Mus musculus: one gene and its partners. The protein of the gene in region 1 interacts with the protein of each later gene in a pairwise test. Links are inferred from orthologs where the notes say so. Each region holds a gene or a part of one and is shown on either strand. Other genes may lie near its edges. The genes, in order: Vti1b, Trim59, Creb3 and Ptpn5.

Region 1 (7,692 bases):
TTTGGTCACCAACACTATTACTGTAAATGTATTTTTTGTTGTTTTTGAAGTTTACAAGCTATTAATGTTATACATGTAAGTTTGAAGGAGTCATAAACAACATTTATTACCTTAGTATATCATACTGGTCTTGTTGCTGTTCCTTCACATTTTCGAGGTTTTCCATTGCCCTCCCTCCCATAGTCTGACAAGACAATACATTCTTGAACTGTTAGCCCACAGCAGCAACACATATTCCTATGTAAAACCATTCATTCAGAGTAAGATGCTGGTCCACAAGGCTTTCCCTACAGAAGTTCAATGGTGTCGAAAGAATTTGTAATACACCAGACCGACCAGGATGGCTAGCTCCAGCAAGATGATGACGGAGAGCAGCAACTTGTTGGTTATCACTCTACAAAGACAAGCAGAGTAAGTAGACATGAGTCTGGGCAATCTTATTTCTAGCTGTTTCTAATGCTAGACACAGTGAGGTAGATGGAGTTTGAGTTTGGCTACACAGCCACACAGCAGAAAGCACTGTCCTTTGGACAGTGACAATTCATGGTGCTCTTGGCTTAAGTGAGGGACAACACTGACTACATCACAAAAATGTGGGAAACAGGAATATAACACTAAAACGTAATGACTTCTTGACTCTAAAAATTCCTCTACTTGTCCTGCTGTTTTAAATATGGTCCTACCAGCCATACATACGCTACGGGTGCACTCTTTAGTGTCAAAGTCGATTAAGCTCACGGCCGGGTCCTGCTTGTAGGATGAGGAACTAGTGGCCTTGAGATCTGCTTTTCAGTGTCTTGTAAACTTCTCCCTTCTTACTCTTCCCTATTTCTCCCTCTGCTCTACTACCTCAACAGTCACTCGCCAAAAAGTTTACTTCAGGTTATCATCTCGTTTCTCCTTACTTTAAGGAATTATTAGTGTTTGGGGGAAATCTTCTCCCACTGCTTGTTCTATGAATGGATTTCTGAAGCTCTTGTTAGCTCACATGCACCAAGGACACGCCACACTAGGTACCCAGCTTAGCCCAAATGGCACCATCTCCCTTCGGCCTTTTTTTTTTTTTAACTACAGTTAGGAGTTACCTCAAGGTTGGTTTTTTTGTTTAGTTTTTTTAAAATTAGTGAACACAGGTATGTGCATCCTACACAGTTCACTTGTGGCAGTCAGAGGACAGCTTTGGGGATGGCGCTCTCCTATCAATCGTCAGGCTCATGCCACAACCGCTTTTACCTCCCGCTAGCTTGTTTTTGTTCTTTTAAAATACTTCTTGCTAACAAGACAGGACTCCCAAAAAAGGCCTGCCATAAAAGGCAAGAACTAAGTACTATCCGTGCTCCCACACCGGGTGTTCATAAACATGTTCCCGGGAGCAGAAAAGCTCTATTGGTTCCTTAGGTCCCCTCTAAGAGAGAGAAACTGGGACTGACATTGTTCAGCAGACAGGTTTCCCACTATTTATGTTGGAACAATCTATGAATTTACCAATCTCCTGAGATATGTAACATACAGACTATGTTGTCCTTTGCTGTTGAGTGACTTCGGGGCAGGGAGCAGGGCTTGGGGAGCACCAAGGTGATTTACCAGGACATTTGTTAAGTCACTGGTTTAAGCTTTCTTAGTTGAAATACATTAAATGTCAAGAATTTGTGGGGGTTTTTGAAACTTACTTTCTGGACATTGAGCGAAGAATCTTCCGGCTTTTGCTCAAATTTTCATTTGTATTTACCAGCTGGAAGAGAAAATAATAGGTCATCTCCTAATCCTTTCCAAAAAAAAAAAATCTATAGAACTTGAACATGGGCATTAAAAAGGTCTTTGTTAAGACACAAAGAATCAAATGAATTTAATAGCTTATATCTAAGCTATTAAGTATAAGTAAAGGAACCTAGAAAAGTCAAGGTGTTTGGGTGCTCATTAAGGAGGGAAGCACTATATCTCATTGTTCCTATAGGCATGGGCGGCTGTGAGGTCACTAATCCTTCACCTTGGCTATTCAGATAGGAAAGCGACAGGCATGGTAGCATGGTGGCGCACACTTTTAATCCCAGAAACAGGCTTGGCAAGTTGAAGCCAGCCTGGTCTACAGAGAGTTCCAGGACAGCCAGAGCTACATGAGACCCAGCCTCAGGAAAAGAACAAAAAAAAAAAAAAAAAAAAGGGAGGCGGGGAGGAGAATAGTGCCACAGTTTTAAAACCAAGCCTTTCTGACTGCCATATAGGCTATAAGGTTTTACCTATGCTGGGCCAGTGACTGCAGGGCAACCTATGATTTGAATCTTATCACTTAAATACTTGGAGAGCCTCCTGAGTTGGTATTTGCTTGTGTTTTTAAGGGTTTACTTTTATGTGTATGAGTGTTTGCTTGAATGTATGTATGTGCACCGCATGGATATGTGGTGTCCTCAGAAGTCAAAAGAGGGCATCGAATCCCCTGGAACTGGAGACATGGTTGTGAGCTGTCATGAATAGGAAAACAGAGCTGGAGAGGTGACCCAACACATAAAACCACTTGCTGCTGTGCTGGGCAGTGGTGTTGCATGCCTTTAATCCCAGCACTTGGGAGGCAGAGGCAGGCAGATTTCTGAGTTTGAGGCCAGCCTGGTCTACAAAGTGAGTTCCAGGACAGCCAGGGATACACAGAGAAACCCTGTCTCAGGAAACCAAAAGAAAAAAATAAAAGAAAAAGAAAAAAAGGCACTTGCTGCTTGTCCAGAGGACCTGAGTTTATTGCCGGGATGGGTATGGCAGTTTACAAGCATAACTCCAGTCCCAGGAAATCTGATGTCTCTGGCTTCCTTAGGCACCAGGACCATGTGATACAGAGATATATATACAGGCAAAAAACCTACACACACAATTTTTTTTTTTTTTAAGAATAGAAAAATATGCTGTTAGACCTGAAATTAAAATCTCCTTTCACTGAATCCTTACTGGTGTTTTCACATTCTCTTTTCATGAATAAAGCGAGACATGAAATAGTATAAATCATTATTGCTTTGCGGCCCAGCATGGTGGCACACAACCTTAATCCCAGTAGGCAGAGGCAGGAGGATCACTGAGTTCCAGGCCAGCAGTCAGATCTAAATAGCAAGATTCAACTCACAAATATTATAGACACATCTACGTATTTTTGTGTGTTTATGTCTGTTGTATGTGCACATCTGTGTGGGTATGGAGGGTACCTTCCTTGACTGCTCTCCACACTGTAGGCAATTTTGGCATTATTATCTTTCTTTAAAACACAGAAATAGGGGCTGGAGAGATGGCTCAGTGGTTAAGAGCACTGGCTGCTCTTCCAGAGGACTCAGGTTTAATTCCCAGCACCCACATGGCAGCTCACAACTATCTATAGCTCTAGTTCCAGGGCATCTGGTGCCCTCACACATACATACATGTAGTCAAAACACCAATGCACATAAAATAAAAATAAATCTTAGGAAAAAAACCCCACAGAGATATAAGAATATGTTTTTGTTTTAATCCCAGGTATAAGATATGGGGCTACTTCAGATTGTCCATAGCAGCTGACTTTGATTTGCCTCGTGCAGGGGTGTGATTTTGCCAGCAGCATATAGTTTCTGTGACTGTGTGATGTTTGGAATTCTGGGGACTTTTCAGAGGGTATATAAATGCTAGAGTCCCAAGAAACAAGATGGATTGATTGTTGCTGTTGGTGGTTGGTCATGGTTTCTCAAGCAGTTAAGCACAAAGAGATGAGAAGAAATTAGAAATCTTGAAGATCAAACTTGACACAAGAAGCTCTATACTCCTAGTCAGCAGGAAGTAGCCTAACAATAACATCACCCCCTTTCCTCTCTTTCCTTTTTCCTCTCCTATCTTGTGTTGGGGGTTGAGAGGGTGGGGAAGGGTAGAAGAACCCACAAAAACTGGCTACACCACCTTAAAGGACCTCTCAATACACTGGGCTGGCCAGCAAGCTCCAAAAATCCAACTTTTTCTAATCCTTACCCCCAAACTCTGGGGTTGCAAATGCATGGACATCTGTACTGACTTTATCGACTAATCCATCTCCTTTGGCTCTGTATTAATTCTAATGGGGAATCTTTTAGCCCAGCAATTTAAAAATTGTGAAAAGGGGAGGGGGCTGTTATTCCCAGAGAGAGAATAAAAGAGTTATTTCCAGAATTCAGAACTGCTGTAGTGTCTGGCTTTAGTACGACATCTGGGTATGAAGGACCCTCCGATTTTACACATTGCCCAGACTTACTCTGCTCTTAGTACGTTCCAACTGGTCTCGTTGCTCCCCCAACTCTTCTATGATTTCTGTACCAATTTGATCAGTTTCTGTGGCAATCCGATGAGAACGCTCAATGCTTTGGGTAGCCCGGTTCAGGCTTTCAGTGCCTTGTAGGAGTAATGCTCTTTGAGACTGTAGTCGATTCTGACAGGAGTAAGGAAGAAAAGTTTTAGGCTACTTCCATTATTAAGAATTTTTTGTCAATACATTCCTTGTGACTTTCTTCTTTCACTACAGTTTTTCCTTTCTTTCTGCAGGAAACTGATTTTAGGGCACTCTACTGAAGTCCTATGTATAAGTATCTACATATAACATCTCTCTCTCTTTCTCTCTCTCTCCTCCCAATTCATTAAATCATCTTTAGATTACTTATACCTGAGAAAAGGTAAATATTATGTAAATATTGTTCAAGAGAATCATGACAAGAAAATCATCAATAGATGCTCATCAAATAAAAACATTCTTAAAGATTTATTTATGCATGTGTACATGTGCACCAGGGTGCCCATGGATGCCAGGAGAAGGTATTGGATCCCTCAAAACTGGAATTTTTTTTTTTTTTTTTTTTTTTTGAGACAGAGTTCTACTGTGTAGTCCTGGCAAACCTTGAACTTACTATGTAGACCAGCCTGGCTTCAACTCACTGAGATCCATCTGTCTCTGCCTTCCAAGTGCAAGGATGAAAAGCTAGGTGCCACCATGCCTGGATAAATATAATACTTTTAAAAAATATTTTCAATCCAAAGCTGACTGGGTATTCAGCTGCAGTGGGTATGAAGAGTTGGTTAGCTGTGCTTTTTAAAATTGAATCAAAGATTCTAATGAACCATAAGATCCTCTTCAAGGTCCTAGACTAAAGCAGGTACATCCCACTTCCTGTTATACTTCTGAAAATAGATTGAAAAAAATCGGAGCATTTTTCCTGTAGACCAGTTAAAATCCATTATAAACTTGTAATTGGTTACTAGCAACTTCAGTCAGCATCCAGACTTGAGAAGGTGGTAGTGTGTGCAAAAATGACCTGATTAAGCTTGTGACTTTAAAAGTTAAAACTTTTTCAAATATTTATTCATTTTTGTTTTTTGAGACAGTCTCACTGTAATTGAAGCTGGCTTCAAACTCATCATGACCCTCCTGGCTCAACATCCAAGTGCTGGAACCGTAAATGTGTGTCGTCATGCCTGGCTAGCCTTTCATAGGGCCACAAGTAAACAACTAACTCCCCAGAACTCTAGAAAATAATTAGTTCCCTCAAGATTCCCATTTGACTGGTCCTGAAGATTTATAGACCATAAATAAGGTATTCTTTCTCAGCATAGAAGTCACTAAAAGCTAGAGACATTGATACATTCTTGAAAAAAGTTCTATGGCTACAATCTGTTTGTGAACTCCACCAATACCACCAAAAAAGAACATCACCTCATGCCAAACAGCACTCTCAAGTGATCACGCTGGTGACTTGCTCACAGAGAAGGGGAATCTGGACCTCAAGCAAGCTTCCCTAACTTCCCAAGAACTCTAAATCTTCACTGAAGTTTTTTTCTCTTTAATCCTAAATGCAGCACGACTACAAAAGCAGCCCACGTCTGGCCAGAATCAATAAAGATGGGCAGAGATGGGGTAGCACACATAATCAAGAGGGGCTCAGCTCACAGAACTTACTACAGAGCAGGTGGCAAATGGCATAAGATGTCATCAACAATTAAGATTCTTAATCCAAGCACTCAGGAGGCAGAGGCAGGCAGATCTGAGTTCCAGGACAGTCAGGGTTACATAGAGAAATCCTGTATCAAAAAAAGAAAGAAAAAAGAGAAGAGAAAATTAGCCTCTTGGGCTGGAACAGTGGTGCACACCTTTAATTCCAGCACTCACAAGAGAGGCAGGGGCAAAAGGATCTTTGTGAGTTCAAGGCTAGCCTGATGCACAATAGGGAGTTCAAGGACTATATACTCTCTCAAATTTTTTCTTAAATTAGATTCTTAAAATAAGAATGTCTACTTTACAAATAGCATACAGACGAGTAAGTGAAGAAACCACTGAGGATCAAATAAATCCCATCGTGTGTGGTGCACGCCTGCAATCTTAACATCTAGGAGGCAGATGTGGGAGGATGGCTCTGAGGGCAGCCTGGTCAATAGAGTGAGGTTCAGTGCAGCTAAAATGGTGCTGGTGAGATGGTTCAGTGCCAAGCCTGAAGACCTGAGTTCAGTTATGGGAACTCCTGCATGTGGTCCTCTGACTTCCACACACGTGCTTATGTATACATACAAAATAAATAATGTAATAAAGAGAGGCTGGAGCGATGGCTCCGGGATTAGCACTGGCTGTCGTTCAGAGAACATGGGTTTAATTCCCAGCACCCACGTACTGGTTCACAACCATATGTAACTGCAGTTTCAGGGATCAGTAGCCTCACCTAGCCTCTGTGAGAACTGCATGCACATGGTGAACATGGAGGTAGACACCTACGCACATAAAATAGAGCAAGAAAAGATAACATCACATAAATCAACCTTGGAAAGACATGGGATAGTCCCACTAAAGGCACACATGTTTAGCTACATAAATCAGCCTCAGATAGACATGGGATAATCCTACTGAAGGTATAGGTGTTATCTATACTATGGACTCGGGCTGCTGAGTCAGCAGCTCTACGGGGTATTTGAGGCCAGTATTGGCATCATGGTGACAATCCTCTTTCAAGTTGACTTACATGTTTTGAAATTAATAAATTTAAAGTAAATGTTTGGACTTTTCAATACTCTTTTTTTGAGGGGGAAGTTAGAAAAAAAAATTACCAGAGTGATTTTTTTTATAATATCTGTTTTAACAAATTCTATTTGCCCTTTTCAGCCTTCCTTCACTGGTGTACTCACATGCATCCATTTCAAAATTGTTTTGTTTTCTCTTCAAAAATTGTGTCTAAGAAGCCAGGAACTAATGTAGGGGCCACTGCTAGGGAAGATACTTCAGATCTGCTGCAGATCAGCTACCAAGTAGGGCTGTGCATACCCCAGGAACTTGAAGTATTTGTAGGTCAGGTTCTAGGCTGGAGCAAAGCTGAAAAGCTCCCTTATCTTGCTTTGATTGGTGGTCTCTGCACAAAGTGTCTGGCATTGTTCTTCAGTCAGCACCTTGCCATACAAGGCATCCAGCAACCCATCAATGCCTGTGACCTTGGCAATGAGTGCTTGCCTATGCTGCCACACAAAATGTGCTGGTCTGGCTGCCATCTGAGGAGGATTGCAGCTGACACAGACTCTGACTTGGATAATGACCGTTTGCAGCTGCTTGACCCTCTCCATTCTCTAAGTCTCTAAGTCCAATCACTGTGAGCACCAAGTCTTGTGTTTTGTGTTTTGAGATAGAAGCTACGGAGCTTGTCAGAGAGGTCTATGGGGCCTCCAAGGGATGCAGCACTGACGGAAGCC
Region 2 (8,428 bases), on another chromosome or scaffold:
GCAGAGAAGGGAAGAGAGACTAGGTAGTCGAGGCTGGCAGTTTTACAGCCCACTTTTATAGTTTTGCTTTGTATTGTTCACAATGCAAGCCATAAATCTGCAAAAACCACAGCCTTTGGCGAGTGGAGGGGAGAGTAATCCTAGTATTTATGTAGAGTATAAAGGCTGACAAAAATTCTATATAAAACCAGTCCCAAGTTAAGTTCATAAAAACAGGGTTGGGATACAGCTCAGTAGTAGAATGTGATGTCTAGTATACACGAGGTCCTGCATTAAGCCCCCAACGCCAAGTTTGTAACAATAGCATTTAGAAATAACTATTCTTGCAGGGCAGTGGTGGCGCTTGCCTTTAATCCCAGCACTCGGGAGGCAGAGGCAGAAGGATCTCTGAGTTCAAGGCCAGCCTGGTCTACAGAGAGTTCCAGGACAGCCAGGGCTACATAGAGAAACCCTGTCTCGAAAAACCAAACAAAACATAACCAAAAAAAAAAAAAAGAAAAGAAAAGAAATAACTGTTCTTTTTAAACTCCTTTTAAATCCGTTTAGCCCTTAGCTCCTTAGCCACCTTCTGTGAGACTGTAGCTTTCCTAGACCAGGTGCCTCTAAATTTAACTGGATAAACTAATTTTACTTCAAGCACTTAAGATTTTAATTTAACCCACATCCACAGAGAACTATGAAGTCATACAAAAATTACCCAAGAAATATAATTTGCTACTCCTTTTATCTAGAGATAAACTGTTTACCAACAACCCCAGAAAACTTTGTAATTTTGTATAAGTCAGAAAGCAATACTTTGAGCTCTATGTATAATTCTTAAGAAGCTATATGCATATCTGTTACTTTTCTGTTGTGTGATAAAACACCATGACCAAGGCAATTCATAGAAGACAGTTTATTTTGGCTTACAGTTCCAGAGGGTTAGAGTTCATAATGAGAACAGCACAGCAGCTGGAGCAGGAAGCTATGAGACTCTTTAAAGGCAGGCATGAACCAGAGAGAACTAAAAGTGAGACAAGACTTTCAACTCTCAAAGCAGACATGTCCTCCCACAGGCTGCACAATCTCTCCAACAGTGCTACCACCTGGGGACTATGTGTTCATCTCAAATGCCTACGGAACCCATGGGGGGACATTTTCACCGAAGCCACCACACCTAGCAACCAGATGCTATGGAAAAAGTGGGGGCTAACTGGTTTTTTAAAAACAGCACTAAGATGCCAGACATACTAGTAAAAAGTCTTTCTTCTTTGAATATAATTAGCCAAGCTTTCAAATGTTTGTTATGTAAAAGCAGACAGTCAGAAAACATACGTAGCCAAAAGAAATGCTGCAAGAAAACAATATACAAAATGTCCCTAAGTTCTAGAAGGAAAAAGGTTTTACCCCAGAACTCTGTACCTGTGCTACTTATTCACATACAACAACAAAAACAACCGTAGCAGCAGCAGCTTCCCAGCAAGCATGAAGAGTCTGAGAACCTCAGACACCAGACAAAGCCCCACACTCCTGAGCTGGGGTCATTGAAAGAGGAACACACATGCACTGACAAGAGGAAAAAATTTTAAAAAATACATAAGAAAAGCAACAAAAGGAGAGAAAAGGCCCAACGTGAACACAGTATCTTGCATAGCTCTATACCAATATATCTGATGGCTTAAAACAAATGAAGTATTCAAAGTATTGAACAAATCAATTCAAATTACTAAGAATGATCCAGGAAAAAAAAGCAAACTGGAACATTTTACAAGTTAAAAAAGTACTATCTTGGACAGGGGGCTGGGGAGGGTCGGGGCAAGCATCTATGATGAATCCTTTCAAATGGTCATGAAACCAATTCTTGTTCATCAGTCCCAGAGTACAAATATAAGTATGCAAATTTCAAGACAGTATATAGTAGGATCCCAAAGCCCTGCAGAGATTATACAAACTAAAAATAGACTAATTTCCCAAAACAGATACTTTATAGAATATAATTAGCGAATTAGCTATATTAGCAAGAATGAAGAGAGTACATTAAAAGAATGCCCATCCTGACTATGCTGGGCTTGTACATCAGTGATAGAGTAAGGTTCTAGGCTCACTCTCCAATACAACTGCATGAACCTTGTTAATTGAGTAACAGGAAATCTGAAATAATTCACTCAGTGAGGGCAATGGAGGGTGAACCGTGTAACCACATTAGATTTTGAAAAACAATGCAAGGATCAGATTAGAAACAGAAAGTGGGATTGTGAAGACCGCAGCCTCCGGAGAGGAAAGGGCAGCCACCGTTTAAGGAGTGCAGAGCTAGAATATGGCAAGATGAAAAAATCTTGAAAATGGGTTTTACTGAAGATTACCAAAGTGAATGTATGTAATGGCACTGACTGTCTACATTATTAAAAGGGTTTCAATGGTACATGTATGCACTGTAAAACACAAGAGGAACTATGAAACCTTTTAACTATTTTCTTTCCTGTCAGATTATAAATTTCAATCAATTTCAAAAATAAGCCATGTGAAATGTATTTTCCTCCAATGAGTACTAAAATCTGAAGTAAAAACTGATAGTTAAGCAAGATAACCCACTTCAATTTAAGTTACCAAAAAAATAAAAAACAGGTTAATACTGGGTCACGGTATTTTATCGCAAGGCTCAATTATCTATTTGTAAGTGATTTCACGAAGTTCTTGTGTTTAAATATAAACACACCTAAGTTTCTCATCCTTTTACAAAACCGACTGACTTTTTACGTCTACAAGGATCCCAGATATAAAATCCTGTGCTTCTAGATTTTAATTCACAACAGTTAACTGCTCTTCATCTTTGAGCATGAATGTCATAAAATACTCATTAGTTTTTACTTTTGTTTCATTTATTGAACTGGGTCTCATGTGTTCTAGGCTGCCCTCAAACTGCACACATAGGAAAGGTGACTTTGAATTCTTCCACCTCTGAAAGCTGAGACTGTAAGCCATATGCCATCCATCACACAGGGTCGAATTATATATTTTTATATATTTTACAATCTCCAAGGAAATTATGTTTCCCAAACCACACTGCTCCATGACTTGCCACAGAAGCCTGGGAAAACTCAGGCCGTGCTACACCCACTTCTGGGCTGCACAGCCTTGTGGCCCTAATTGATAAAAAAGTCTAATGTGTGAAATTACAGGCTTGGGGGGGGGGGGGGGCGAAGAGAGAATTGCTATGATTATGCCATTTATATACTACCATAAGACAAAACTTTAAAATAAACTTTTCTCAGTCACTATAGACGTATACAAAATCTTGTGTTGAGACATATTTTATATACTGTATGTTAATTTTCAGTCTAGAAGAATTTAAAATATTTTCATGTGTAAATGTAAAATTATAATTTTTTTCCTTTTCTAGACAGGGTTTCTCTGTATAGTCCTGACTGTACTAGATATAATTATAATTTTAAAAAATACTATAGCAATATCTAACTTTAAGTCTTTACTGATTTGTTCTGTTTCATTCTAATATAAACCTATTCCACAAAGCTATGAAAGAAGCTACTAATGTAACTTAACCAGGAATTGACATGAGAAATTATACTTTAACTGATTTTTTAATACTATTTCTTAGGGCTGGAGAGATGGCTCAGCAGTTAGGGGCATTAGCTGCTCTTTCAAAGGTCCTGAGTTCAATTCCCAGCAGCCACACAGTGGCTCACAACCACCTGAAATGGGATCTGTTGCCCTCTCCTAGTGTGCATGTGAAGACTAATGTGAAAACAGTGTGTCTACCAATATACATAAAACACAGTATTCAAAAAATAGTTTTTCAAAGTGAAAATATATTTGATGGAAAACATTCAGCAACATATTTGCAATGTCAGTATATATATATTACCCAAAGTCAAAATTTTACTTTTTACCAGGTTAAAATACAGGACCTTGGCTCACTAAAAATGTAGATCAATGTGTAATACTGGGCAAAAAGGAATAAAGGTAGCTTGAATAATAAATGCAGCGTGCAAACGTGTAAGGCAATACCATTTTGTGTGCATGACTTAAGACGTCCACACATGCTTATAAAATGTCTGTTAGATAAAAGTGAAAATCTTTTAGCCAGGCAGTGATGGCTTTGGCTCCAGCACTTGGGAGGCAGAGGAATCTCTGAGTTAAAGACCATCCTGGTCAACAGAGCAATTATCCAGGACAGCCAGGGCTACACAGAGAAACCATGGTTTTTTGTTTTTTGGTTTTTTTTTTTTTTTTGGGGGGGGGGGGAGAATCAAACAAAAAACTGAATACCTTTTAGATTAGGTCATTTCTCACTTTATGCTTCCTCCATAAGATGGTTAAAATTTTATACACTTCCAATATACATCTTTTTTTCAAGAGATTTTTCAATCTTTCATCATAGCCCAGGAATCACACACTCTAATATCCTGATGTTTCTTCGTATCCAGTTAACTTCCCAGAGCTTACCTGGTCTGTCAATCTCCTGATCTGGACACTGGGTGTACTTTATCTTCTCCAACTTTTCCAGGATCCTTTGTTATTCTAAAAGTAAAACAATTTAATGTTTCAGATTTTGCCTGCAGTAAATATTTCATCTTTAAAGTCCCAACCATTTCCACACAAAGGACTTTTTACAACATAACGAATCTCTGACTCTGGACAAGATTAACCAATGATGGGAACTAAACACTCATAGTTTGGTTTGGTGGGTTTTTTGAGACTAATTTTGTAGTCCTCACTGACGACCTGGAACGCACAGGAGAGCTTGCTGCCTCTGTCTGCCCCCATGCTGGGGTTACAGGCGTGCACGTTCATGCCCCGCTTCAAAGTTTTATTTAAACTCAGCAAGACGACTAGAAATATCCTCGCGCGTAGATATCCCCAGCTCGAAACTACGTTAAATTATTCCCATCAACACATTGGGTGGTCTCCGAAACGCTGCAGGCCTCAGTTTTACCTATGAAGGTTCACATCTGTACAATGGGCATAAGTCCTACGTGAACTCCAAACAAAGAAGTGGCTCAAAGATGGCAGTCACACCCTCTTGTCCAGGATGCCCAGGGCTCACTCGCCCCGCGCGGTGCTGCGGGATCTGCTAGGCTCACCTACCGGCCCTTACGACCTCAATCCCGCCGGTAGCTCGGAGCGCCGCTGCTCCACCCGCGAGCGCGCGAAGCGAGGAGAGGCGAGCGCACGCCCTCCGGAGCCCAGCCCGCCTCCCCATCCTCAAGTCGGCGGCGAACGCACCGGGGCCGCGGGCGCTCGAGAAAGAGGGGCAGCGAGCCGCCTCCCCGGCGGAGCCGCGTACTCACCGCGAGGCGGGCGAGGCGGGCGAGGCGGGCGAGGCGGGCGAGGCGGGCGAGGCGGGCGACGGCGCGCACGGCGAGGGCTCCCGGGCAGCCTGGTGCGGACACTGCGAGGCGCTCGCCCGAGTCTTCAGGTGCCCGGCGGGGGCGGGGCCGGCGGCGCCGCAGCGACTTTCAACCGCGCCGCCTCCGCCAATGAGAGAGCGCGGGCGGCCTTTGAACACCAACGGCCGAGGGCCAGGCGCCTGCGCACTAGCGCGCGGCGCGGAAAGCGCACGGGCGGCAGGGGTCGCGCCTTGGGGGGGAAGGGCTGGCGCCAGGACCTCGCGAGGGCGGGGATGCGCGGGTGACCCGGCGGCTTCTGGAGGCGGCTGGCTGAGGGACTGCTTATTACTTAGGACCACGCCCGCACGGGATGGTTCTGGAGCTGGCGGCGCGCAGGCTTCTTCCATTGTTACCTCACAGGTTCCTTGTTCAGTCACCGGCTGGAGGGCTCGGCGCGCTCGCCCGCCCCCGTGAGGCTCCGGTCCTCCAACTTAGGCGCGCCTAAGCCTTCATCTGTGTCCTCCCTGTCCTCTCTAACACGCTGGGTCAGAAAACACAGTAGTGGCTTTTCACTTTCTCGGAGAAACGCCATTCCAGAGCTCAGACCGCTCTCCGCTCCCGGCCGGTGTGAGCTACAGAGCAGATTCCAAGTCAGCCTAAGACTCACAGCAAGACTTGACCTCGGAGACAAGATGGAAAGAGGGGGCGTAGAGGAAGGAAAATGGATTGTGCCTTCAAGGAGTGTGCTTTACAGGTCCATAGAGTGCCCGACCCTGCCAGAAAGTTCTGTAACCAAACATGGGGAAGGGGCAGAGAAGAGGAGCCTTAGCACTAAGGCAGCTCCACGCTGACCGGCAGCGCTACTCAGGATTTATGAACTGTTATTCATGCGCTCTATAGATGATAGTGTTGGTCTGGAAAAGAAAGACTAGAAATTACAATTCAAATACAGGCACCAAAGCGTAAAAGTCGTAAACCTAAAAACCTCATGTGTTGGGGCGTCAGCCTTCGAAAACTTTGGGCTGAAAAAAAAAAATCAGCTGCTTTGGGTGTCTTCCATTACGATATACACACTCCCAATACTCCCTTTGTGATAGAGTATTGAGAAACGGGATAAAGGATGGGAAATACGTGGTTTTGTTACAGGTATAATATCGGAAAGATGATGAACAGAAATGTGACTTCTGAGCTGGGGGTGTAGCTCAGTTCCAGTGCTCGCCTGGCGTGTTCAGTTCCCACCATGGAAAAGCCAAACCGCTGAGCGCACATTAACATCTTCTTGGCGCTCCTCAGACTCCTTGCTTGAAAACTTTTTGTCTTGAGCTTTGAAACAGAAAGTCAGCGCTGGCTGTTCTTCCAGAAGACCCACACAGCAGCTCACAACTGTTGCACGGGAATCTGATGCTCTCTTCTAGCCTCCCAGATCACTAAGCAAGGATGTGATGTACGCATGCATGCACGTTACAAACCACACATTAAAGAAATAGATAAACGGGGTTTTATTTGTTTTTAACTGACCAGAGGTAACAGCAGTTAAGAGCACTTACTATTCTCAAATTCAGTTCCCAGCATGACTGTGGACCCCTCACAACTGCCTGTAACTCCCGCTCCAGGGGATCTAAGCTCACTCTTGACTGGCTCTGCAGACACACACAGATGGCATATACTTACACTGACAATCACTCGTACACATAAAAAATAAAAATAAAAACAGTAGAAGCTTGTATACTGTCTTAGATAAGAACAATAAACTCTTGAGGAATTACAGAGCGAACATATATTTGTATTAGAAGGCAAGTTCTAGGGCTGTTACTAAAAGATACTAAAAAGATGGGGACAGACAGAAGCTAGTAGAAGCTAAGGATTACTTCAAGGAGCTTGTTAGGAAACGTTCATTGTAGCCCCATCTAAGTCTCTGGCCAGCAAGGATACTTTCTGGTTTTCTTATCTGAAGGAGAGTCTTCCCACAAGAATCTGTTTGCTGCAGACAGGAAAATGCAGGCCCGCTGGTCCTGGCTAACGTCAGAGTTCCTCAAGTGATTTCAGCTGTAGTCATCCGCATACCAACCCCACCTAACTTGAGGCAGCCCTTCACTCTGTGAGAATTAGCACAAACTGTAACCCAGCAAATGGGTTTCATGCCAGACAGTCATGGCATACAGTCTTAATCTCAGCTTCTGGGGGCAGAAGTGTTGGTTCTCAGGAGTTAGTAGACAGTCTAGTCTACAGACCTAGTTCTAGGACAGTCAAGGCCACACAGAGAAACCCTGTCTAGAAACACACACACACACACACACACACTACCAACAAAAAGAATGTATTCCACGTCAAATGTGGTCAAACCTCTAGTGCTAAAGCAGGAGGATCCCTGCAATTTAGAGGCCAGCATAGTCTATACCATGAGTTTGAGGACAGCCTGGGCCACGAGGTTGGGACGTTATCTCGAAACATACATAAAAAGCATGTTCTTCAATAATGCTTTTCTTCAGAATCATGGAGAAAGCCATGTTTAATAGTATGTGCCTGTAATGTCAGTGCATGGGAAACTGAGGCAAGAGGCCTGGATTACATACTGAGACCTTGACCCTAAATAAGTAAATAAATAATCAGCCATTGTTAAACAAAATTGTTATTATATCTCTGTGACAAATTTCTCTAACATTTCAGGCCCAGGGAAAATGTTTCTTTTGCTAGTTTTGCTTTTTTTTTTGGTGAGCCATGAAGGTCATACAATGATAACTTTGTTGCCAGCTGCTAAGGAATTGGCTACAAGTCTTAGCAAGCTCTTCCTTCCCAGGATACATTGTTTAATATAATGTTAGCTCCAGCCTCAAGATAGATTTCTGACCTCAAGTGAATTGTGAGGCAGATCACTGTTTACCAGTAGAACACAGGCACTCAACTCTGGGAAGGGCTTGAGGGCGCTGATTTTAGCCCTGTTTCCCAAGTATCTGCCCTTCACCTCCAACTTAGGAAAAACTTGACCTGAGACTGTGCAGGTCTTCCTTGGTTAATGCTTGCAGATTAATCAAATCCTTGGTTAATCCAAGAGAAACAAAGTCACTGCACTAATGTTCCACTGCTAATGTGGAACTGCTGAA
Region 3 (8,318 bases), on another chromosome or scaffold:
CAGCTTTCCCCTGCTCCTTTTTATTTGAATACAGACAGGAGTCCTCAGGCTGAGGACACCCCACATCCTCACACCTAACCTGAATACCTGCCCTGAAAGATGACCAAAGAAGGGCTGTGGTTAGGTTGCCATCCCTCGCTTTCTGAAAGGTTTGCCTGCAGGAGAAGGTTGGAGTCGGAGAAGAGCATCTCTGAAGAAAGATCCCAGAGTGGCCAGTGCAGGGGCTGCTCTGCCTGAGGCGCGTGGTACAGTACACAGGAAAAGTTGCTGGAGACCAAGAACATATGTTCTGAGCTGTCCAGTGACTGGTGTGTGCTGTCCATGGGTAGCTCTGACGATAGAGCAGATGGCTTCGGCTGATGATCGTCCTCGCTGGGGAGGGCACGAAGCTTGCGGTGCAACACTGAAGAGACAAAGACTGGTCAGGAGACCACACAGAAGAAGCCCTCTCTCTACCACAGACCACGCCCGAAGGTGTCCTTAAGCCTCTTACCAACATACTCCGCGGGCACACTTCCCCTTGCATCAGAGGAGTACATAGCGGGTACCAGGAGAAGACAGAAGGAGAACACGAGGACCTAGAACACAGGGAGAAGAAGGGGGTGAAGAGCTCTGGGTCACACACCCCATCTCTGCCAGGGAAAGGATCTCTTGTCACCCTCCTCACCAGAACACAAGTGCTGCCGCTGCTGGTTTTGTTGGCTATCTCAATCACCATGGCTTGAAGCTTCCTCAGTTGATCTAGAAGGGACCTAAGAGACGAGAGGAGACGGTAGTGCGCATGCTCTGGCCGAGCATGCAAGGCACGATGAAGGCCTCCTGTCTTAGCTACCCTCTCCACTCATGCTGTGGATCCAGTCTCAGCTTCCTTGCCTTTCCCCCTCACCCCAAGTGTCTTTGTGCACAAATGCCTGTGATTCCTTAGTGAGACAAAAAAAAAATCAAACTGCTCTGTCCTGACTTAAATACCTTCAAGAAAAACTCTCCAGTAGCTGCAGTACCTGATCAACTAAGCTTGTGCTTCCCCACCAAGCCCTGTGCTCTCTACCCAACCCCAGAGCTAGAGCCAGCCAAGCACAATGCAGCCTTCTCTCCTCCCAGTCCCATCCCCACAGCTGCAACTGCAATGACGCTGACGACCTGCAGTCTTTTCTTACTTCTCTATCTTGGTACTTAATTGCTCCTTAGCTACTTATAAGTTTATTCTCCATCACGCTTGAGACATGGCTAACTTCCGGATGTCTGCATTTTTGAGCTATCCAGTTGGAAGTCATGTGGAACAGTGGAAAGAGTGAGAAAGCATTAAAAAACCGATTGTCTTCAAATGGCCGCTTACAGATTCTGTTCCTCCAAACGCTGCACCTTGTTCTGCAGCTCCCGATTCTGAGCTGTGTATTTCAAGACCCTAGAGGACAACATGGATGTGAGGACACGTGGATTTCAAAATATTGTGTCTCCTCCCTTCAAGACCCTCCAGGCTTCCCCCGTGTCCATCCTTGCTTACCTGCTCTCCAGCCCCACGACATACACCTTCTTCTTCTTGCGGCTTTCTTGAGCTGCTCTCTTGTTACGAATCTTCCTCCGCACTCGTTTCAGAACTTGTTCCTCCACCTAAGAGAAGATGGGGGAAAGGTCACCCACAGTATGTTATTATATGCCTGTATGTTATACCTATATATACTACATAGGTATGTTGGAAGACAGCTAACCTTCTTCCCAATCAAATACTCTCCACAGCCTCTCTGTCAGTAGGCATTTACCTTCTGTGTGAACACCAAGGAGCAGATATTCAACACTAGAAAGCCAGACTTTTTATTATTTTTTATGTGTTTGGGTGTTTTGCCTGCATGTCTGTATAACGTATATGTATAATGGGTGTGCCTAGTGCCCACATAGGCTAGAAGAGGGTGTCAGATCTCCTCGGATTGTAAGCTGCCATGTGGGAGCTGGGACTTGAACTCATGCCCCATGGAAAAGCAGAAAGTACTCTAAACCACGGAATCATCTTTCCAGTCTCTAATTAATTTTAAAAATTCCACTTAAGCTAGGTGTGGTTGTACATGCCTGTAGTATCAGCACTTGGGAGGCAGAAGAAGGAAGTCAGGATTTCAAGACCATCCTTGGCTAGGGTAGTTTTTGAGGACAGACTGAGCTACATAAGACCATGTCTCAAAACTAACAACAACAACATCTACCCTTATCCTAAAGCAACATCAATCTTCTTATAATTTCCATTCATTTGATTTTCCTAGAGTCTCTAAAGTGATATAGAATATATCCTTATCTTAAGGTACTTTCAACTTTTTTTCTTTCAGAAACTAAAACTGAATAAAGTTAACTCTTACATTCTCTGATAATGCCTGTCAAACTTGGACACTAGCCAAGAGTGACATCATACACTTGTAATCTAGTCCGAGGGAGTTAGAAGCAGGAGAATCAGGAATTCAAAGGCATTCTTTCCCTACTACATAGTTTGAGGCCAGCCCAGCCTGGGTTTACAAGACCCTGCCTTAACAACAAGGGCCAGAGGGCGTGGCTCAGCAGTGAGCATTGATGAACATTCATGAGGTACTGTACTCCAATCCCAGTGGGTAGGGGAATTATGGCATGCTCTGGCCAGTGTAAAGGAAGACAAGACAGTTACTATCCTAGGGACAGAACCACTATTGATAATTTCCAAGTTCCGTTTCCTTTCCTCCCAATATATTGCTCATTCATCTTGTAATAGTGATAGAGGGATAGGGGATGGTTTCTCACATAGCCCAAGCTTGCCTGAACTCAACATGAAGCTAAGTCTGTCCGTTAATGCTGATCCACCTGCCCCAAATAAGTAAATATCTACATATCAGAAGTAAGACAATATTAAAAAGGCAAATGACATTAAAAAAATTTGCCACAAAAACTAGATGCAGTATTCTTGTAATCCCAGCACGTGGGAAGTGACTTTGAACTTGTGAAGACCTTCCTGCTCCTGCCTCCAGAGTGCTAGGGTTATAGAGGGGTGCACCATCATGTCCAGCTTTGACGATTGTTGATGTTGTTAGACTGAGTCAGCCTCTCAAGCATTTCTACCACTGAGTATGATTCGAGGTCCCAAGATAACAACGGAAGCTATCAAGGCCCTTCACTTTCAAGGCTCTGTACTAAAGTTACATTTAAAACATTATCTTTTGACGTGGGTGTGTGTTTGGAGATGAGAGAACTTGTAGGAGTTGGTTTGTCCTTTTGCAAGTGATTGATATGAAACAAACTGAGCTTGCCTACTTGGGTTACCAACCCCCTCCAGCCTTTGCTCTACCAACAGGAGCCTTACCTTAGTGAGAGGAAGGGTTGAGGGCAGAGTGAGCCCCTCCTTCTCCAAGAGCTTCTTCTCTTCCTCGGTCAGTATCAGCCTAGACATCTCCTAAGGATGGAGGAAATAGTGAAGAGAGCAGAGTTGCATGGAGCTCTCAGAGCAGTATGGGGGATCTTGGCTGCTGCAAAGTGAGGTAATCCTGAAAAAAAAAATCAAGTCCAGCACCTGTTCCGCTGCTCTTTCCTCCCCTGGCAGTGGAGTCACGTGGAACCCCTCCTTTTCGAAGCTCTCAGTATCTGCAAAAGGGAAAGTAGAACCAGCTAGCCCAGTGAGCTCTCTCCTCCCCCACAACTTATCATTTCACACTCACCTAGATCTATGGAGACGTGCTCCTGTGGAAGGGAGTAGTTGTGATCATGGAGAATGGAAGAGCTGGAAGAGCCGAGAACATCCCGCGATACTGAGGGACTGAGCAGAGAGCTCAGTAAATCCTCTACCTCCCAGTCGCTCAGTTCTTGCACGGAGTTCTATCAAATTCAAAGGCCTTGATTTATTTCCGTACCTTGGGTCTCGCGGACATCCCTAGCTTCCCCCACTGGGAACACCCACCCACCCACCTCGGAAGGTGACAGCTCTAAGTCCAGCGGAGCCTTCACGTCCGGCTCAGTCGCAGCCCACAAATCTCCGCTTTCCTCTAGCAGGAAGCCCAGCAGGTCCTGATCACCGGGATCCAAAGCTAGCAGATCCTGACCACCAGGATCCATTTGGGATATCTATGGATAGAAATCCCTCCGCGCAGATCCAACCTCCGAACCTCAGGCACGACCCCTCAGTCTGTCCAGTCGGCTCGACTTAACCTCCGTCACTCCGGGACAAGGGCCTAGCTGTCACTCTAAACCGCACCCGTCTCTCAGCTTCTGTATTCCTCAGCTTCCAACACAACGGAAGTGGTGCACATAGCCCCGTGGAATCCTGGGACTTGGAGTTCTCTCCAACTCGGAAGTGGCTCCTGGGCTGCGCCACGTCCCGGGGGCTATGCAAATTATGGGGACGTCCTTTCAAGCTTCCCACGCCCCAGGGCGGGGATTCTGAGGATCCTTGTCCGCCTTCGCCTCGAGCTATTAAAAAAAAAAACTTAAGCGTTTAAAAGGGAACTCCAGCTTAGTTCGGGCGTTCTCTCCAGAGCTCTGCACGCTCGCTTCCTGCTGGGGAGGGGCGGCCAGGCTTCGCGGGCGCCCGAGCATCGAGAACTACGGCCAGAGCAGCTTCCTGCAGTCTCCGCTACCATAGAGCGCGGGCCCAGGGCGCCGCCGGCGGGTGGGGGACGTTTCCAGGACGGAAGTGGCCGAGAGTGTGTCGAAGGGAGGGCGAGGCCGGAGCCCCAAAAGCGACCGGGAGAAGGAGCGGGTAGCGGGCCCAGGGCGGGGCGCAGAGCCGGGCAGCGCAGGTAGGCCGGACGGGCTGGGCCGAGCTTCTAGGTGGGGCTGCGGGATCGGGCCAGCCCGGGAAGCGGCGGGCGGGGCCCCCAATCCTCCTGCATATCCTGTGTCTGGTTAGGGAGGTCAGGGTCCAGTATGTTTCGGTTTGGATTTGGAATTAAGCTGGCCTTGTTGCGAGAAGCAGGCCCTTTCGCGGGGGTAGACAGTTCTCTGTCTCGGCTAGGTTTGGGGACGGGTAGAAATGGGGTGGCAGTGAGGCACTGGGTGGCAGTGAGGCACTGGGCGGGGATGGGCTTTGGTATTAGCCGATAGTGAGTAAGTGGTTAGGAAAACTTGGGGTGAGTTTGGGTTAGGTGCCGTCGCGTTTAGGAAGCAAGGATCCCTTTAGAAGTTAAGAAGGTGAACTACATTCTAAACATTTGCTGCACGAGTCAAGTCTGTTTCGCATATGTGACATTTAAACTGAGGTCATTATTTTCTGCAATGACCAGCATTAAGTCAGAGTACAGGATCGGGTTAAGGATCAACAGGAATTGGCTTAGATGCCCGTTTTAGGGATTAAAGGCCGGTGTCATGGTCAGTATTAAGAATAAACAGTGAAAAGGTTAATTAAGAACCAAGTTACAAATGAGCTTTAGAACTGCAGGGTGGGGTGGGAGGGAGTATTTAGGGTTAAATTTGGGGGATTTGGGCCTAAAAATAAAAGCCAGATTAGTATGGGTGTCTTCTGGGAAAGGGGTGAATGTCAATGTATAGGGAAATAGGAAATAAAGTCAGCATTAATGTTAGGAATTGGTGATAGCGTTAGGGGTTGAGGCTGCAGCTACAGCTGAGCTGGTAAAATGTAAGAAGTTGGCAGGAAGTAGCTACCTTTGTTTTGTAGTGAGTTCTCTTATTCCTGTGCAGTTACAGAGGCCTCTTTTACCCAAAGAAGTGCTAGAGCTCTGGACCTCAGCTAGAAGTGCCAGGACTCTGCTTTCTCTAGTCTACTGCCTAAGCACAAGGCTTCCAGAGGCCACCACCACTGGGAGACAGGGATTTCTGGGCTGTGATGTTTACGAGGTGGGAGGTGGGAAATGGAAAGAGACCCAGGAGTCAGACAAGGTCCTAAGTGAGGATGGGGAATAGGAAGCCTGTGACTGAGGGGAAGCTGACCAAGGGAACGCTGTCGACTAAATGATGACAGTTTGACTCGAGCCTCCCTCATTCTCCACACACTGCCTTCTCTCTGTCTCTTTGCCCTCCCTGGTCCCACATTGCATACCTTTACAGTTCCTTACAGATACTGTCGTGGTCTTTAGCTCGTCTCCTGCTGTTCATCTGAACCATTTCCCACCCCCACACCCCTGTCTCTGTCTCTTGATCCACACATCCTACTTTACTTCATGTCCCTCAAACCTGAGCTTTCCCAACATCGGAGAGCACTTTCTCATACTTGCATACCACCTGGTCAGCTGCTGAACCCCCCCCCCCCCCGCCACCGGGCTCTTCCCATGTGTACCCCCTGGTTTCTGAGCCTCCTTTTACTTCTAGGTCCAGTTGTGGATCCCCTTCCCCCACTCCCCGACAGAAAAGAGGAAATGATACCCAAAGAGGAAACTTGGTCTTACTGATCCCACGCCCAGCCAGGCCACTGACCACACCCCCATGTCACTCCCAGCTTGACCCTGCCAGTGACCACAACACTGTCCCCTCCCCATGCTGCCTCTCCTTCCAACCCAGGGTTGCCTAGCCGCTGTCAGTGTTCTCTCACTCTCTCCCCACTAGCCCAATTTAGCAGCTTACCACATCCCTAGCTCTTCTGGAGCTCCTGACCCGGCCTCCGGCCTCCCTGTCATCCCCGGTTTAGTCAGCATCCATGGACTCATGCTTTTCCCTCCCCACCTGCTCAGTGGCTCATCATGTGTCTGTTCCCTACCATCACGCTCCTGGTCTCTTTTTCTACACCCTGTGATCCCCAGCCACAGCCTAATACTGTCAGTAACCCCACCTCTGTGCCCCTGCTACAGATACTTCCTATCGCATCATTTACCACCCAGCGTCATTCCCACATCCTGACTTAGTCCCCTCTCCTTCCCTGGTTTATTAAACTGAAGCTGTCTAGTCAGTAAATGGGTACTGGTCATAGGAAGCTGATTTTGGCTTCAGTTTTCTGAGTCCTGTATGTCAGTTCTACTTTTCTTCTGAATGGCAACTTCCTCTCCATACAGCTTTAACTCTGGCTTTATTATCGCTTATACTAATACAGTCTCCTCCTAACTTGGCCCCAGAGTTGCCCGAAAACCCAGTGCTGGGGATGTCCCTGTTTAAAGCTTCCTTGGCCTCCTGTTCCCCTCCAGTCAGTTAGGTTCCTCATACTGCTCTCTCCGCTTTTGCCTTTCCATCTTAACCCTGACGTCCCCACCGCTGCTCCCTTGCAGGTGCCCCGTGCTCCAGCCAGCTTGCCTCCTCACTTTCCTGGGCATTCCTCCGAGATCTCCTGCCTCTCAACCTTTGCTAGTGCTATTCTCTGTGCCTGGGACGATACCTTTGACTCATCTTCGACTGACCTAATGGAGAGAGCTTGGGCTTTGGAGGCAGAGAGACCTGGGTTCGGATTTTGGCTTCACAGCTTATTATTTGGACAAGTCCTTTGGAAAAGTATTTAACATTCTGGAGCCCCAGCTTCCTAACCTGTAAAAATGGAGATGATAACACCTACCTTGCAGGGTTGTTGTAAGGATTAACTGAAATTATATATGTATCTAATGCAATTAACATATAGTCAATAAATGACACGTCGCTGTAACTTCTTATTATCTTCATATTTTTAAAATTCTAACTTCAGATGATAGCTTCCTTGGATCCTTCGCTCCCTTTCCCTAGCCTCCGGGGCTCCCTTTTCTGGGTGAACACGTTTGGCTCCTTCCACAGCCTGCCTCTGTTGTAACTCTGCATTTAGCTTTTCCCCACCCCTGGGAGGCTGGCAGCCTGCGGAAAGCAAGGTCTAGTCTTACTCATCGAGCTTCCTGGCCTTCCCACCATGGGCCTTAGAGAATGCATGGAGGGAAAAGCATACAGTGAAGGAGAGAGGCTGGGAGCCGGCACTGGGGCTGGTGCACTGTGGGGAAGCTGTGTGCACACGTGCTGCCTACAACAGATAGATCCGTATAGCAACAGCACAGGCAGTTTGGCGGGAGGGAGTCCTGTGTGTAAGCTAAGGGGCCTTGGTGAAGAGTGAGAATACATGTATGACTGTGAAGACAGACCTTGTGCTGGAGGAGGTCAGATCCAGCCTCTCAGCTGCCCGGTCCAGCCTGAAAGGAGCTTCCAGCAGCCCAAGGCCGGATATGTCAGTCTCACCCACAAGCCCCTCCCCCTCCCAGCGGTTGAGGACTCAGAGGCCAAATTTGGTAACAGACTGCATGTTATTCCCCCAACCCTCTTACATTCTGACTCTGTCTTCAGCTTTCTTTCTCCCTTTGTCCCTTTTAACTCCCTGTCTCTGTAGTTCGCCCCTGTAGGTACCTGCACTGATGATATTCTCCATGTACCCCAAAATTCCTTAGCCCTAGTATACTTGCATTCCATTCCTTGCTGGGATT
Region 4 (7,522 bases), on another chromosome or scaffold:
CTTGGGGGTCTCCGTATACCAGTTTACAAGGCTTTTTCTTTGTTCTGGATGATAACCCTGGTGTTGCAGTGAGTGGGTGTACCTGCCTCTTAGTTAACCTGTGTGGTAGTTTTTTTGTTTTTTTGTTTTTTTGTTTTTTTTTTTTTGTTTTTTTTTTTTTGAGACAGGGTTTCTCTGTATAGCCCTGGCTGTCCTGGAACTCACTTTGTAGACCAGGCTGGCCTCGAACTCAGAAATCTGCCTGCCTCTGCCTCCTGAGTGCTTTACAGGCGTGTGCCACCACGCCCGCTATGTGGTAGTTTTTAAGAATCTGTTTTGCATATGAGGAAACATGTGTGACTGAAATGACCTACCCAGATTTGTCACCAAGAAAAGCATCTGGGATTCTTGCTCCTCCAGCCCTGCCTTGTCCCAGTGGCCTCCAGGCTTAAAGCCTTCTCCCGAGCAGGTGCTCTGAGGCTAGTGCCCAGTTCCTGCCTTACTATATACCTTCCATCTCTGGTTCTGAGACCATTTATTCTGCCTCAGACCATATCCCTTTCTTGTACAGAAAGTACCAGTTCGTGGCTCTTTCCAGGGGAGATGGCAGGAAGCCTTAGCTTCTGTACTAACCTGTGCCTTCTAACCTTTGAATACTGTGCCTGTGACTTGGAGGCTCAGCTACTGCTCTGCCAGTAGGATGGCCGGTCTCCTCCCTCTTTGTTCCAATAGCAGGCACTGGTCATTGCCAGATCCCTAGATGCTGTATAGACCTTTGGGGGAGTCTTTTTCTTAGGCTCTTGTCTCAGCACTGGGGCACACAGCTTGGTGGTAGGAATTAGGGGAGGGGAGCAAGCTGGACCCAAGAATGGGCAGAATGCCGGGGATCAGGCCTGAGGGAAGCTGAGGCGGCAGGCAAGCAGTTTGCTTCCTGTGCCTTATGCCTTCTGCTTCTCACTGCTGTAGGTTGGGACCTCTCCAAGCTGAGGGGCTCAGGTTGGCATATGTGCCTGTCCGTGCCTGGGCACAATAGCACGCACAGCTTAACAGGGTTTGGGGAAAAAGTCAGAGGCGTTTGTCTCTCCAGTACTGGGAAGAGGGGCACTCGATGAGTCTGGTGGATGTACCGCTTAGCACAAGTCCTGGGGAATACCGTTTGTGCTGCGTTCTGTGGCCTGGTGGGGCAAGGGATAACATTAGACCTCCTCCTTCCTACTCCTCCTCAGTCTGAAATCTACATAGAAAGGCTCATTCTCTGGGTGGGAGATCTCCCTGAGCTGGCATCCCTGCTTTGGACCTATTGACTAGTCCATTTACCCCATGTTAGCCCCATGGGTCCCAATAGCGGCTGCAAACCAGCAGTTTCCCATGGAAGTAAGGCCTGGGCTGAGAGTAGCTCCTCCCCCACAAAGGGCCCCAGGGAACTAGATCATAAGCCACTTGGGACACTTCTCTGCTTTTATCCCTGGCCCCTGGGATGAAGCAAAGGTAGCTGTGATTCTCTGCTGGGAAACGGAAGTCACCCTGGGGCAGGGCTACTGGCCAGCCAGCAGGGCCTTAAAAGATTCAACCATGGAGGGGATACCACGGATAATAAGGAAAAAAAATAAGGGTGTCTAAAGCTCAGATGGGGTTCCAGAGAAAAGGAGTGTGCTATCCAATGAGAGAGGAGCCTGGGTGAGATGGAAATGTCTTCTTGCCCTGCCCTTGGGCTCCTTGGCTCACCTGTTGTAGTTGGTGACCTGTTAGTTACTTTGCCTTCCTGGAATCGTCCCATACACATCTTTGAGGTTCCCTATGGTGTGGTGCACCTCTGTGGGCTGGGGCTGAAGGCAAGTGGGAATTCTTTTTTTTTTTTTTTTAAAGGTTTATTTATTTATTATATGTAAGTACACTGTAGCTGTCTTCAGACACTCCAGAAGAGGGAGTCAGATCTCGTTACGGATGGTTGTGAGCCACCATGTGGTTGCTGGGATTTGAACTCCTGACCTTCGGAAGAGCAGTCGGGTGCTCTTACCCACTGAGCCATCTCACCAGCCCGCAAGTGGGAATTCTGAGGTATTTATTAATAGACTGTTTTTTTTTTTTTTTCTTTTTTAAACCCAGCTTTATGTATATTCACAATCTCCACAGGGGGCGCCAGCGAGCATGAGGGCCAACTTTATGCACATGTGCTGGGAAGCAGGAGCTAGGGGCGGGGAGGGGTGTGGGTGTGGGTGTGGGTGTGGGGAGGTGGGGGGTGCACACAAAAGCCTAGGGTGTCAGGAGAGAGCAGGAAATGACAGACCCAAGAGGCTAGTTTTGCTCAAAATGCTCTGTTTATTGCTCTATTCAATGACCACGAGCGGATTAAAAAAAGACACCAAATGTCTCCGTTTGCCGTGGAATAAATATTTAAAGTCAGCAATAAAAACACGTGGCTCCAAGATAACACATGTTGCCAAAGAGTCATGCATGCCCTGTTCATGGGCTCTCAACACACGCATGGACAAGGGAACACACACAGAGCAACATGTAGGGAGACACTTGCGGTTTCCCATAGTGACACAGAAAGATGTCTCACAGGTCTGGAGCTGTCCACATCCTACTCTTGGAGGCCCCCCTCAGGGCTCAGATCTTTGGGGTTCCCCACTATATCTGTCCTCTTCCTCTCCAGTGCCACATAGACTGGAGATACTCATCTTTGCCCAGGAACTGTCTTAGCTGGGATCTCTCTGTCAACCATCATGTGCTCCCCTGCCTGGTCTCTGCCATCCACATCCTGGTAGCAAAATGCACTCTGCCTTTGCAGAGGAGCCAGTGGGGCCAGAGGAAGGTCAGTATCTCTGCCTGGGGAGCAGGGTGGGAGTCTGGTGTGGGGATGTGGGTGAGGGCTGAGGGGTGAGAGCTTAGTTCAGTGCTCCTTTCCTGGCTGAGGGGACACAGTGTTTGGTACAAATAGCTGTGATAGATGGACAGACAGAACACATTATGGTAGGACACTTGGGGTGTGGCATGGAAACATTTTGGACCAAGTAGCTGTGGAACCATGGTTAAAACTGAGGCCCTCAGGTCTATATGGTGTGGGTCAGGCCCAGGGGCCCCAGGCCTGGCCTGGCACATTCCTCCCCTGCCCTCCCCAACTCTGCAGTATATACAGTAGGAGAGCTAGGCTTGGGGTAGGGACCAGGCCAGGACAATAGATGGGGAACAGACTGAAGAGAGGGGAGGATGAGGGGGAGGGCCAGGGAATAGGCCCAGGACCCAAGGCAAGATCTTGGGTAGTTGGGGTAAAGACCCAGCCTCAGGCTTGGCAGTACCCAGTGGATCTCAGAGGAAGAGCGTGGTCACTCTGAGGACTGGAGGGACAGCTGCTTCTCATAGAGGCTCATGGCGTGGTGCACAAACTGGTACTGTTCGCATGTCTGGATCATGCCACCCCTGCCCAGTAGAGATGCAGTAGGCTGCGGGAGGGCCACCAACACTAGGGGCACCAGCTAGTCTGCAGCTTAGAGAGACCAACTCTTCCCAGCCACTGCCCTCTGCCCCTTCCTTTCAGGGCCACACCTTTGTTTTCAGCACTGTCTTTCCAAACCAGCTGCCTCTCTTCTGCCTTCTTCCAGAAGAGAGCTGACTGGATTCTGTGCTCTCCCATTTGGTTTTTCAGTTCCCTAGCCACCTTACACACTATGTCTGGTTTGTCAGCTATCCCTCGATTCACGCTCACATCATGTTGCCACCCTCTCCTCCCCTGATCAGCGGGCTAACCTGTCCTGACGGAGCTGGCACGTGGTCTTCAGGATGTCCACCACGCCCTCACGTCGCAGCTGCTGGCAGCAGATGCTGGTGGCAATGAAGCAGCCAGTTCTCCCAATCCCTGCACTGAGGGCCAAGGGGATGATGGGGTAAGGGACAGAGCAGTCCAGGGATGGGGTGGCCCGGCTCCAGTGGGTGGCCAGGAGAACCCACCTGCAGTGAACGATGATTGGGGAACAATGGGGTCCCTCTTGTTGGGCTGCCTCCTCCACTTCCCGTACCAGGTGCAGGAGTGGGGGAGCCCGGTCGGGGGTCTTCTGGTCAGGCCAGGATGTGAACCAGTAATGCTTCAAGCTTCGCTCTTCAGTCCCTCTCTGTCAGAGAGAGAGAGAGAGAGAGAGAGAGAGAGAGAGAGAGAGAGAGAGAGAGAGAGAGAGAACACCCCCCAAGTACATGTGAATGCTTTCAGAATTGATCCAAAGATGGAGATGGGAAGGGAGGAATGAGAGTAGGGAATCTGTAGTCCCCCATCTACCATACTGCTTAATGGCACAAGACAGATCAGTGTGTGTGTGTGTGTGTGTGTGTGTGTGTGTGTGTGTGTGCGCGCGCACGTGTGCGTGCATGTAGCATTAGCCTCTAAACTCTGAAATCATCGAAGAAAAGCAAAGGGGCTTTTCTCCAACTTATTACTGTCTGACAGTTCCTATCCTGACAGATGTCCCAGGCACCCCTTAGTCACATGACCAAGAACACAGGTACTATGCTCTGTCTGCCCACCCCACTGTCCTCATTAGCTGCTGTCAGCCTCCTCTCTGCTCTACCATCCCATGGTGGGAAGATCCAACCTTCTTCCTCCCTGACTATCAAAGACCCATAGCATCAACATGATCCTTCCCCAGCACGAATCTGGATACCCTGCGCTGTGTTTAAGACCTGGCTTGGTCTGATGGTTCAGGCCTGTAATTCTAGCTACTTGGAAGCCTGAGGCAGAAAGATCACAATCTCAAGCCCTGCATGGTCTGCAGTGCAAGTTCTAGGCCAGCCTTGGAAACTTAGTGAGACTGTCTCAAAACAAACAAAAGAGTGAAAAAAGGGCTGGGAATGTAGTTCAGTAAGAGAGTTCTGGCCTCTAATCCCACACCAAACCAAGAAACCCTTTACTGTGGACTGAATGCGGTGGCTTCCTCCCCCAACTTCGTATGTTGAAACCTCCTTTCCATTGTGTGAGAATTTGAAGATGGGGCAGGAGTTCACCCCTTTGATGTGATTCATATCCTTAGAGACCCCAGGAAGTTTCCTCACTCCATCATCCTTCCTGCCCTGGGAGGACACAATCCAGGCAACGTGTGCTTGCATGCACAGCTGCTCCTTCTATGTATGGGAAAGCTTTTCCATTTGTCCCCTACTAGTCACCCCTTACCAGTCCTCCAGGACCCCATACAGCACTGCCAGGCACCTCACCCCAGAGCACGCCATCTGGCATACTGCCCTTCTGTATTCTTGCCTGTACTACTTGGTGTTTACCATCTTACAGGTGCTCCTTGAAGAAACAATCCAGGACACAATTATGCCCCCGGTACTCGACCCGGAACCACAAAGCAGGTGCTTGGAAACACCCTCAAACCCAGACACCCTGGTTCTTCTCTAGCCTGTCTCCTAGCCTCTCTACTTGGGAGATGGTTCCTCATGTCCTTGGGTCACTCTGCTGTGACAGCAGCTGCCCCCCCCCCCCCCGGCTTTCAAGGTTTTCAGGAAGTCTTGGTGTTAGATGCTCATATGGACACTGTCCCCATGACAGTGTGGGGGCTAAGGCACCCTGGCATCTTGCCCAGCACTGCATCCAGTGAGAGACAGAGGCGCTCAGAGGGACAAATGTCAGGCCCTGAGCTCTTTTCTGTGGCGGAACCCCATGGCTGTTAGCATCAGCATCAGGCTGTTTCTGAATTGGGCATCAGCTTCCTGGTGCTTGACTTAACTTCTCTACCTTTCTGGGTTATCACAGGGGACTTCACCTCCACAAATACATCCCACTGCTTCTCCAAACCAGAATCTTTTGATGCCCCCAAAGGAGCAGCCCTCCTCTTCTGCTTATCCCGGACACGGCACAACTTTCCAGCAGGAGGATGCCCTTTCCCCACCCTTCTGGGCTGCTTCGTGTTGCTCATATTTTGTGCATTTTCCTTTTTTTCCTGCCATTTCCTGTAACCATGACTGTGTGTCCTAAAGCAGCAAGGAGTGCCTGCCCTCTGCTGGTGGACATTTTGGGTGCATCAGACTGGAAGCCAGCACCCCAGTGGAAGGGACATTACTGTCACTCAAACTCGTAAAGGAACTCTCAGTTACGATAAGGACAATGCTGGAAGCCCTTGAAGCCTCCTTGCCCAGGTAGTGCTGGCCTTGGGAAGATGTGGAGGAGAGCTGCTATGGTCGGCAGTGCACAGAAAGGGCGTAGGGCACATGCAAGCAAGGCTTAGCGTCTGAGTCTATTGACCCTTGTTTAACAGTACGTGCTGGGAGTGCCGTGGGTCGATGTGTCACCTACAGTAGGCCTTTCAGTACTGTTTTCAGGTGGGGGTCTCAACTAAGCCTCCCCAACATCCCTTTCCTGTTTAGGTCCATGCCTCACCCTGAGGGAGATGAGTCGCAGCCGGTAGTCCTCCGTGTGGATGACTTTCTGCACGGTGATCTCCACGCCGTCATGGACCACCTGCTCTTCTGGCCAGTATTCTGTGCACTTCTGCAAGGACCAAGATCAGGCTGGGTTACATTCCCACTCCTCTTCCACATCCCTTCCTGCTCCGCTGGGGTCTACAAGGACGACAGGCTTCGTTTTAGAAGTCTGCGTCGAAATCTTGACTTCATAACTTGTGACCTACTTCTCATTTCTGAGCCTCAGTTTCTCCCATTTGAAAAATGAAAATGATACCATCTTATAGGATAATGTGTGTGTGTGTGTGTGTGTCTGTGTGCTTGTGTGTAAAGGTCAGAGTTTAACTTCAGGTGTTGTTCCTCATGGGCAGTCCACTTTGGTTTTTTGGACAGGATCTCTCGTGGGCCTGGAACTCACCATGTAAGTTCAGTGAGGCCTAGGTCTGTCTGTCTCTTGGCTTCCCGAGCACTGGGGATAAGGCTGCATGCATATACCACACCTGGACTTATTTATTGGGATAAAACTCGATTCCTCACTTGAGCTCTTTCTCTTTTTTTTTTTTTTTTTAAACAATGGAGATTCAATTAAATGAGCTTGCTCATCATGAACATGCGTATCAGCGGCAGACTGGGAGGCAGCAGATCATGACTCAAATACAGCCATTGGATGGGGTGGGAGAAGCCAGCTCCAGGCTCTGCTAGGCTTTGTGTGGCGTTGAGTGTATACCTTAACTGTCAACACCTCTCATTTCCTTATGTTGACAGTTGAGTGCACGCCAGGCTCACGAGATCCTCAGGAAGATTATTATGCAAAGGAGATGCTTCATGTGGGGGCACAGAGCAGGGCGCAACGAGCAATGGCACAGGGTCCCTACCTCGTTCATCTCCTCGATGTTGGTGATCATGACGATGATGGGTGTGCGCTCCTGCCACACCATGCGCCAAAAGTCGGCCACAGTGCTGACGATGGGTCCCTGCGTGGCGATGTACACCTTCTCCTCCCCACTGTAGCCCTGCAGCCACCCAAGTCCAGCCCGTCAGGTCAGGGGTGGAGGTGGCACTCCCAGGGCCCCATCCCACACTTAGGCTCCTCTTGGGGCTTGTAGGAGCCACACTGGCTTGGGGGACAAGTCTGAAGGACAGATTGCATCAGCTC

The links.
Region 2: the proteins of Vti1b (region 1) and Trim59 interact in binary tests that used the Homo sapiens proteins (3 or more experiments, as listed by UniProt). The two-hybrid records come from large-scale screens. The link is inferred for Mus musculus from reciprocal best matches to the Homo sapiens genes VTI1B and TRIM59.
Region 3: the proteins of Vti1b (region 1) and Creb3 interact in a two-hybrid assay, tested with the Homo sapiens proteins (2 studies listed by BioGRID and IntAct). The two-hybrid records come from large-scale screens. The link is inferred for Mus musculus from reciprocal best matches to the Homo sapiens genes VTI1B and CREB3.
Region 4: the proteins of Vti1b (region 1) and Ptpn5 interact in binary tests that used the Homo sapiens proteins (3 or more experiments, as listed by UniProt). The two-hybrid records come from large-scale screens. The link is inferred for Mus musculus from reciprocal best matches to the Homo sapiens genes VTI1B and PTPN5.

The regions. Positions count from the first base shown.
Region 1 is NC_000078.6:79,156,178-79,163,869, forward strand, and holds part of Vti1b (vesicle transport through interaction with t-SNAREs homolog 1B), read right to left. Parts: intron 4,406-7,692; coding exon 4,232-4,405; intron 1,733-4,231; coding exon 1,671-1,732; intron 395-1,670; coding exon 298-394; 3' UTR 1-297. UniProt on the Homo sapiens protein: V-SNARE that mediates vesicle transport pathways through interactions with t-SNAREs on the target membrane. These interactions are proposed to mediate aspects of the specificity of vesicle trafficking and to promote fusion of the lipid bilayers.
Region 2 is NC_000069.6:69,039,325-69,047,752, forward strand, and holds the start of Trim59 (tripartite motif-containing protein 59), read right to left. Parts: upstream 5,419-8,428; 5' UTR 5,289-5,418; exon of another isoform or gene 5,082-5,288; intron 5,022-5,081; exon of another isoform or gene 4,934-5,021; intron 4,519-4,933; 5' UTR 4,444-4,518; intron 1-4,443. UniProt on the Homo sapiens protein: E3 ubiquitin ligase involved in different processes such as development and immune response. Serves as a negative regulator for innate immune signaling pathways by suppressing RLR-induced activation of IRF3/7 and NF-kappa-B via interaction with adapter ECSIT.
Region 3 is NC_000070.6:43,558,554-43,566,871, reverse strand, and holds the start of Creb3 (cyclic AMP-responsive element-binding protein 3), read right to left. Parts: upstream 4,215-8,318; 5' UTR 4,060-4,214; coding exon 3,913-4,059; intron 3,823-3,912; coding exon 3,666-3,822; intron 3,592-3,665; coding exon 3,521-3,591; intron 3,404-3,520; coding exon 3,314-3,403; intron 1,612-3,313; coding exon 1,505-1,611; intron 1,406-1,504; coding exon 1,337-1,405; intron 753-1,336; coding exon 668-752; intron 579-667; coding exon 494-578; intron 404-493; coding exon 75-403; 3' UTR 1-74. UniProt on the Homo sapiens protein: Endoplasmic reticulum (ER)-bound sequence-specific transcription factor that directly binds DNA and activates transcription. Plays a role in the unfolded protein response (UPR), promoting cell survival versus ER stress-induced apoptotic cell death.
Region 4 is NC_000073.6:47,075,520-47,083,041, forward strand, and holds the end of Ptpn5 (tyrosine-protein phosphatase non-receptor type 5), read right to left. Parts: intron 7,380-7,522; coding exon 7,242-7,379; intron 6,455-7,241; coding exon 6,344-6,454; intron 4,089-6,343; coding exon 3,928-4,088; intron 3,841-3,927; coding exon 3,727-3,840; intron 3,400-3,726; coding exon 3,306-3,399; 3' UTR 2,279-3,305; downstream 1-2,278. UniProt on the Homo sapiens protein: May regulate the activity of several effector molecules involved in synaptic plasticity and neuronal cell survival, including MAPKs, Src family kinases and NMDA receptors.